Linked DNA regions of Cricetulus griseus. Each later gene encodes a partner of the first gene's protein in a complex. Links are inferred from orthologs where the notes say so. Each region holds a gene or a part of one and is shown in the gene's direction. Other genes may lie near its edges.

Region 1 (4,091 bases):
AGAGGAGCTGTGTTTCCCCAAACCTTTTCTATGGTTTTTTGTTTGTTTGTTTGCTTTTTGTTTGTTTGCTTTTTAACTATTCCATGAGCTCTTGATACCCTTCCAGTACTTTTTTTTTTTTTTGCTTAAGTTAGACATTTCTGTCATGGTGGCCAAGCACCCTAAACAAAAAGCTAGTATGTATACAATATACACCCATACAGGAGTTTATTTCACAGAAATTTAAAGTAATCAAATGTGTATCATTTAAATATTTTAGGGTGCATTTTGATGTTGATGTCTGTAAGTTAAAGGGGTCAGATATGGTCCAGTGGGCAAGAACAGTAAAGAAAGTAAACATGACCATTCCATTAGGGGTAACATTTTGTTATGGGTAAGGAAGAGAAATGATCCAGAGGCAAAACTGGAAGAGTCCAGAGCAGAGAGAAAGAGAAACAGACTATGGACAGGCCTAGGGAAGATGGGGTAGTCAAGATAGCCAAAGATAGAGTTTAATGACAGGACAGCAAAGAATAGAAATTATTTGGGGGTGGGGGTTGGAAGGAGGACAAATAGCTATCAAGGAGGACCCCATTTGAGGATGGAAAACCTCAAGTTCCAGAGGGATGCTGGCTTTTATCTAACAGCCAGAAATCCTATGGTTCAGGTTGAGCTCATGTGGAGGGCCTGAGACCTAACACTCTGAGATGCTGGAACAGGTTAAGTCTCTCCATGCTTAAAACTTTTGAAAAATATTATATATATATATATATATATATATATATATATATATATTTGGTTAGGATCTTATTCTTAGTCCAGCCTGGCTTCAAACTCATGGTGATCCTCCTGCCTCAGCCTCCCAAATGTTGGTATTACAGGAGTGAGCCCATGTGGCATTTATGCACTGCTTTTAATTTTTAAAAAGACGGCTGAATCTGTAAAGGGAAAATAAATAACAATGATAGAAAACAACTAACCCGCCCACTGAGGCTACACCACAAGCGCCCGAGACAGGCCCGTGTCTGTGGAGTGTTGCGGGATGCCAAGGAGGAACGCCAAGGCGGACTCCATCGGAACCCCAGTTTAGCCACTTCTGGCTTCTCAGCAGGACGCCCCACCCAGACCACGCCCACAAAGGCCGCTCGGGGCTCCGCGCCAAGCCCCGCCCCTTCCCGCCCCCTCCCAGCCTAGCTGGCACCGCCCAGTCACGCAGGCACGCCCTGGCACACTTTGGCGCCTGCGCCTACTCGGTCGACGATAACTGCGCATGCGCCAAGTAGGAACACTTTCTCCGTTCCCAGTACTTTTCGCAGGGGCTGGCTGAATCAGGGGCATGCTTCCGGGTCGAAGGGTTTACTTCCGGAGAGCGGGAAGGCTGAAACGCGGTGGCGGCATTGCGGGCAGATTTGCGAGGTTCTAGCTGGCGGAGGCCGCAGCCATGGACAGGTGAGTCCTGGGGACGGCTGGGCCAAGACTTGTGGCTCTCGCCGGTTGGCGGGACGACGTGGTGAAAGCGGAGGAGGAGCCGAGGGTTGTACGTTCACTCCTTCCTTCTCCCTACCTGGGATTTGTTGGAGGAAAGGCCACTTGGTATGGGGGCAGCCAGGATGCAGAGGATGCAGATCCCCGCGTTCCACGCCCCGGCTCCGGGGTCTGTTGGGCGCTCTCTCGCCGCCGTTCGCCCCGAAGTGGGCGGGGTAGGTAGGTAGTGGCGGCCCGGCATTCGAAATGCTAAAGTGAGCAGGCAGTCCGAGGTCACTGCCGGTGAGCAATACTTGACATCTCAGTACTTTGCAAAGTGGCTTTATCGTGGCTATTAATACATTTCAGTTGTACGTTAGTACACTGTGATCAGCTTAACTTGAAGAGCCAGCACCAGGTAGCTGATTTTTCTCATGTAATCTGGTGATTATGCTCGCCTGGGACAAGGATGGGTTGGTTATTCCAGTCGCTTGGCATCGAGGAACCGATTGTGTAGTGAAGAGAGCCAAGCAGGGTAATACTGTGTTATACTGTTCTGCGGGAAAATAAACAGAGGGGACGTTAAATTCCCCGTCACAGGTGTGTCAGGGAAACCTGTCAAAGGTAACTTGCTAGCTGGTACTCCTGGTAGAAAGGTTTAAGGTTTGGCTGTTGGAGTGACCTGTCCTTTGACTGACTCAGGGTCCTTTGCTCTAACTGCAGTGATAAAGTTGTTTTCGTAAATGCTGCCCAAAAGCTTAATTACACTATTTTAGGAGTGGCTTTGTGGAGATGCCATCCCCTGTGATCCGGGAGGCAGAAGTGACAAGGACTGCAAGGAAGCAAAGTGCTCAAAAAAGAGTTTTAAGTATCCTTTGTGTTTTAAGAATTACACAAATTGCAGAATGCTTTGAATCAATGTTGCAGGATTTTCTTTGAGTCATTAGACATTAACTGTGGTAAAAATTGGCTTATTACCTCCATGGGTATTTTACTTGGATACACACTCTGGATGAACTTCAGTGAGGTTAAGATTTCTGTTTCTCTGGTTCCCTACTAGTATGTCATGGTGCTAACTAGTAGTCAGTACATATTATCTAACTCTGATCTGAGAGTTTAATTGACCGAAGGAATTAACTACTATGTACACAGGAAACGTGGTAGCTGTAAAATGCTTTGTTCTTGACAAAAATGTATTCATGCATCTTGTGTAGTAAATCTATTGTTATCGTTAGTAATTTTTTTTTCTCAACATGGAAAGCTTTCCTTAATTCTTCCCAAAGTTCAGGCCAACCAAGATGAAAATTTTGGTAATACTACACCAAGAAGCCAAATTATTCTTCGAACTCCGAGCTCATTTCGACAGCCTTGTAAGATTTTTGTTTCTGCTTTTAAAGTATTTAATAGAGTAGTAGTCATAATATCAGCTAACATTTATATAATTTGCATAATGAAATATGTGGCAACAGTATCAGGAACTAAGCATAGATAATAATGGTTATAGTTATCTGAACTCTTATGAATAAGGACTGTACTTTATATTAATACATAGTAATGGTGACATACTGTTAGTTCTCCAAACTAGAAGGTGGACTTGGAGGAGCCAGTGGGAGTGAGTGGGTGCTGTTATTTAGACATTGAAAACAGAGTTCAAATAACAGTCTGGTTTGCTTTAAAGTCCAGGCCCACTACACTCACTGTATGCCTCATTGTGCTCTCTGAAATCAGACAATGAAGGATCTGCTGACTGGTGCCACCTTGGTTGTTTTAATTTTAAGTCTGTGCAGTTAACATTTATATTGAAAGTATCTTTTATAGTAAAAAAAATTTAGTAGTAGTATGATAAGCTCAACTTTAGAAAAATAAGCTAATTCTTCCATAACATAAACATTTTAAAGTGTTTGATCTGAATCTAAATAATTGAAAATTGAGAAATTGTTCTTTCATATGTAAGTGTGGGTGTTTCATGTTCATGTGTATGTAGATGCATGAATATATACATGTTCCTGATGAGTGTCTGGAGGAGTGTGCGTGTGCCTGTGTGTGTGTACATGCACATATGTGTGCACACGTGTCTCCAGGTGAACCTTGGGTGTTAGTCCTTGGGAGCCTTTAAGACAGTTTCCCATTAGGACCTAGGGCTTTCTGATTAGTCTAGACTCTCAGGGTCTCCTGTGTCCTCTCCCTGGCACTAGGATTACAAGTGTGCACCTCTGTTCCAGAGTGTCTTACTAGATGCTAGGGATCAAACTCAGGTCCTCACACTTGTACCACAAGCACTGTACTGGTGGAGTCATCTCCCCCATACCCGGGAAAATATATTTGTTGCTGGTCTACTTGCTCTGTGTTTACAGTTCCTGGCCTTTCACTTGTTACCCCACCAAGCCGAAGCTTACTAAGACACCCAGATATTTCCTGCATTCTCGGAACGGAAGGGAAGTCTCCCCGGCACACACAGTCTTCTGGGTTCTTGGGAAATCTATCCATGGTATGTAGAAATAAATAATGCACTTAAGTATTTGGCTTAAAAGCCTTTTAATGCGCCGGGCGTTGGTGGCGCACGCCTTTAATCCCAGCTCCCAGCACTCGGGAGGCAGAGACAGGTGAATCTCTGTGAGTTCAAGGCCAGCCTGGTCTCCAGAGTGAGT
Region 2 (3,519 bases), on another chromosome or scaffold:
ATGAGCAGCTGGTGTTGTATGCATACTACCTTCCTCCTCTTTCTCCTCCTCCTCCTCCTCTTCCTCCTCCACCTCCTCCTCCTCCTCCTCCTCCTCTGCTCTAACTGTAGTTAAAGGAAAGCAAGCAGTCCAGAATCTTGAGTGTAGGACACTGTTGGCAACAGAGCTTCTGAGTGGTGCTCTCTTCTAAGAGAGCATTTACTGGAGAGATCTGAAATGTAGGCTGTAAGTACTATTATTTTATGTGTCACTAAGCAGGTAAGTGTGGTACCAGTCTTACTCAGACATAACATCCATTTCAATGATAGTCATCAGTTTCAAAGGTGAAAGCAAAGTAATTTTGCAAAGTATTTGGATTGAGCCTGTGTGACAGTGAAAACTAAGATATAGGTTATGTATAAAAGATTTTTCATGTTGTTAGAGAATTATATACAGTTTTTAAAAATGAAATTGTCCTATTACATATAATTGTTAGAAGAGGAAAATATTTAAAAATTCGTATTAATAATTTTAATCAAAAAGTTTTTTATTAAAAGATGGCAGGATTTTGAGGAACATGTATAAGTTATCTGGCATCTAACTCACCAGGGAAACTGAATCACACAGGAAGTGTTGGTTTACTTCTTTTACAGTGTTGAACAATGGAACCCAGGGCCTCATATGCTAAGCAGGTACTCACCACTAAGCCCAGTTGTATGCTAGGTTGTAGTTTTTAAAAAGGAGTAGCATTCCAAAAGCCATGCACTGCGTGACCCTATGAGCCCAAGAGCAGGAATTTATGTCAAAGATTGTACATGAAAGCATGAGGAAAAGTCTGTAGTATATTCTTAATCTAAGATTGTAAGTAGTCTGGCATTTTAAAAAAGAATTTATATCTCATTATATAAATTAATTTCTGGTGTAGAATATGTACTGTTAGCCAGATGGTGGTGGCACATACCTTTAATCCTAGCACTCTAGAGGCAGAGGCAAGCAGATCTCTCTGAGTTCAAGGCCAGCCTGGTCTACAGAGTGAGTTCCAGGAAAAAAGAATATGCATTATTAGGCAACTTTCTATAGCCAGAATATAGCTCCCAAATGTGTCATTGTTCTTGGCTATAAAAATATGTGTAGATTATATAAAAGAAATCAATGACTTACTTTCTTCATAAACTTTCCTGGGTAATTGTCTACCTTGGATCTTGTTGCAGCTGTACATCTGTGAGGAAAACAGACGAGCCAATGAATATGATTTTAAGAAAGCCTTGGACTTGTTGGAATATATTGATGAGGTAAGAAATCACTCTATATAGCTGGGCATACTGATACACACCTTTAATCCCAGCACTCAGGAGGCAGAGGCAGGCAGATCTCTGTGAGTTCAAGGCTAGCCTGGTTCTAGGATAGCCACGGCTACACAGAGAAACCCTGTCTTGACACGAAAAAAAAAAAGGAAGGAAGAAAGGAAAAGGAGGAAAAGAGCTTCTTTTGGTCAATCATAAAATGCCCTCATGAAAAGATTTAGTTTTGGTTAAGAGCCTAAGGTTGCTTCCCTGTGGCTCTTTGAAGACAGACAGCCATCCAGACTGTTAGAAGAGCTGATAGGAATTGCCAGTTCTAGAGAACCCTCTCCTATTTCCAGTTGGCTTTTTTTCTTTGCAGGGGGAGAGGGGGGGATTGGGGATGGGTATGTATGTGTTTGTGGGTGGAGGACAGCTTGCCAGAGTTGGTTTTCTCCTCCTTGACAGGTGGGTTCCCAGGAACAAATTTAGGTCATTTGACTTTTTGGCAATGCCCATACCTGCTGAGCACTGGTCCCAGAAATTTTTTTAAATGAGCTTTTTAAAGTCTTAAGGTATTCTTCTATAGCCTCCTAATAGAAGCTGCCCTTCAGCTTTCAAAGGTTGGAAAGCAAGTGCAGTAAGATCAGTGGTTCTGCTTCTTGGTTGTGTGATCAGAAGTTGTTTGGTAGCCTTTGGAGTCATAATGTTAACTTTTTTTCACACCTTTTTTTGTTGTGGACTCCCCCTTCTCCCCACCCCCACAGGGTTTCCCCACATAACAGCCCTAGCTATCCTGGAACTAGCTCTGTAGGCCAGGATGGCCTTTTTTTTTTTTTTTAAATCTGTATAACTGCCTGCATGCATTTAAATGCATCATGTGTGTGCATTGCCTGCAGAGGCCAGAAGAACATGTCAGATTCCCTGAAACTTAATTTACAGACAGTTGTGACCTGCTATCTGGATGCCAGAAACCAAATCCAGTTCTTCTGTAAGAGCAGAAAGTGCTGCTAATTGCTATGCCATCCCTTTGGCCTGTTTTGGGATGGGGGTGGGGTGGGGGATGGGGGGCTTTGAGACAGGATATTGGTATGACTGAAATCCTTACTTCAGCCTCCCAGCTGCTGAACTCACAGGTATGTATACCACCATACCTGACTATACAACCATTTGTTTGGTTTTTTTTCCTTTGTTCTATATGCATTCATGTTTATGTATGCATGTATACGTTTGTGTCCTGTGGAGGTCAGGACAGCGCTCCGGAGGTCAGTATCATCCTCCGGAGCACCATCCACATCCTTTGGGACAAGGTCATTTGTTGGCCTGGAGTTCATCAATTAGATTACACTAGCCAGTGGGACCTAGGGATCCTCCTTTCTCTCCCTCCCCCCTGCTGGAAATACAAGTGTGTACCACCACACTCAATGTTTTTACATGGGTTTCAGGGTCAGATCCTCATATTTGCAAGGCAAACACTAGGATTTTCCCCCTGCATAACCACTTTAATAATCTTAACTTCTTAGAGTTCCTGATGAACTCAGAGTGATCTGAAATCAACACAGATATCAGCAATCCTAACACTTTAAAGAAAGAGGGGAAAGGGGTCTGGGAGAGATGTCTCGGTAGTTAAGAACACTTGCTGCTTTTGTAGAGAACCCAAGCTTGTTCTAGTACCCACATGGCAACTCACAACCATCTGTAACTCCAGTTCCAAAAGATCCTGTGCCCTTTTCTGGCCTCCTTGGGCATCATGCCCAAATGCAGTATAATTACATATATGCAAGCAAAATATTCATATATGTACAAAATAAATTTTATAGATAGTGGGTGGTGGTGGTTATGAATTAATGCAGAACAACAGTGTTAATTAGAGGTTAGTATAATTAAAGTTTTAATGTACATTTTATTTTTAAAACTTAGCTTTAATCAGGTTGTTCTGTTTTGCTGTGAAGGAGGAAGATGTGAGCATTGATGACCTGAAGCTGGAGATCCTGTGCAGAGCTCTGCAGAGAGATGAGTAAGTCCTTGCTGGGGCGCCAGGTCCATAGGCAGGAACTGCTTCCATCAGAACTGTAACTTGGTGCACAAGATGGGCCTATGTGCTTCTGGGTATTTCAGCATGCTCTGAGCATAGTGGTGATCTCACTATTTTGTTCTGGTTTTTGAAGTAGGGTTTTCCTCTGAAACCCTGGCTGACCTGGAACTGGATCTGTAGACCAGGCTGGCCTCAGAGATCTGACAGCCTCTGCCTCTTTAAAGA

The links.
Region 2: the proteins of Nup107 (region 1) and Nup133 are in contact, whole or in part, in a crystal structure (PDB 3CQG), measured with the Homo sapiens proteins. The link is inferred for Cricetulus griseus from reciprocal best matches to the Homo sapiens genes NUP107 and NUP133. Residues at the interface, in NP_065134.1 of Homo sapiens: Leu875, Gln876, Ala878, Asp879, Val881, Ser882, Ser883, Glu884, Tyr889, Lys894, Leu897, Arg898, Leu900, Leu901, Gln902, Arg905, Ser908, Leu909, Leu912, Asp917, Pro918, Leu919, Tyr921; in NP_060700.2 of Homo sapiens: Trp937, Leu938, Ile941, Asn942, Gln944, Leu946, Tyr963, Ala965, Lys966, Lys968, Thr969, Leu970, Gly972, Leu973, Lys975, Leu976, Ala977, Leu979, Ala980, Ser981, Asp982, Ile992, Glu999.

What each region holds. Positions count from the first base shown.
Region 1 is NW_023276806.1:138,571,319-138,575,409, forward strand, and holds the start of Nup107 (nuclear pore complex protein Nup107), read left to right. Parts: upstream 1-1,273; 5' UTR 1,274-1,420; coding exon 1,421-1,428; intron 1,429-2,219; coding exon 2,220-2,311; intron 2,312-2,726; coding exon 2,727-2,813; coding exon of another isoform or gene 2,814-2,838; intron 2,839-3,797; coding exon 3,798-3,931; intron 3,932-4,091. UniProt on the Homo sapiens protein: Plays a role in the nuclear pore complex (NPC) assembly and/or maintenance. Required for the assembly of peripheral proteins into the NPC. May anchor NUP62 to the NPC. Involved in nephrogenesis.
Region 2 is NC_048596.1:200,585,853-200,589,371, reverse strand, and holds part of Nup133 (nuclear pore complex protein Nup133), read left to right. Parts: intron 1-1,190; coding exon 1,191-1,271; intron 1,272-3,211; coding exon 3,212-3,276; intron 3,277-3,519. UniProt on the Homo sapiens protein: Involved in poly(A)+ RNA transport. Involved in nephrogenesis.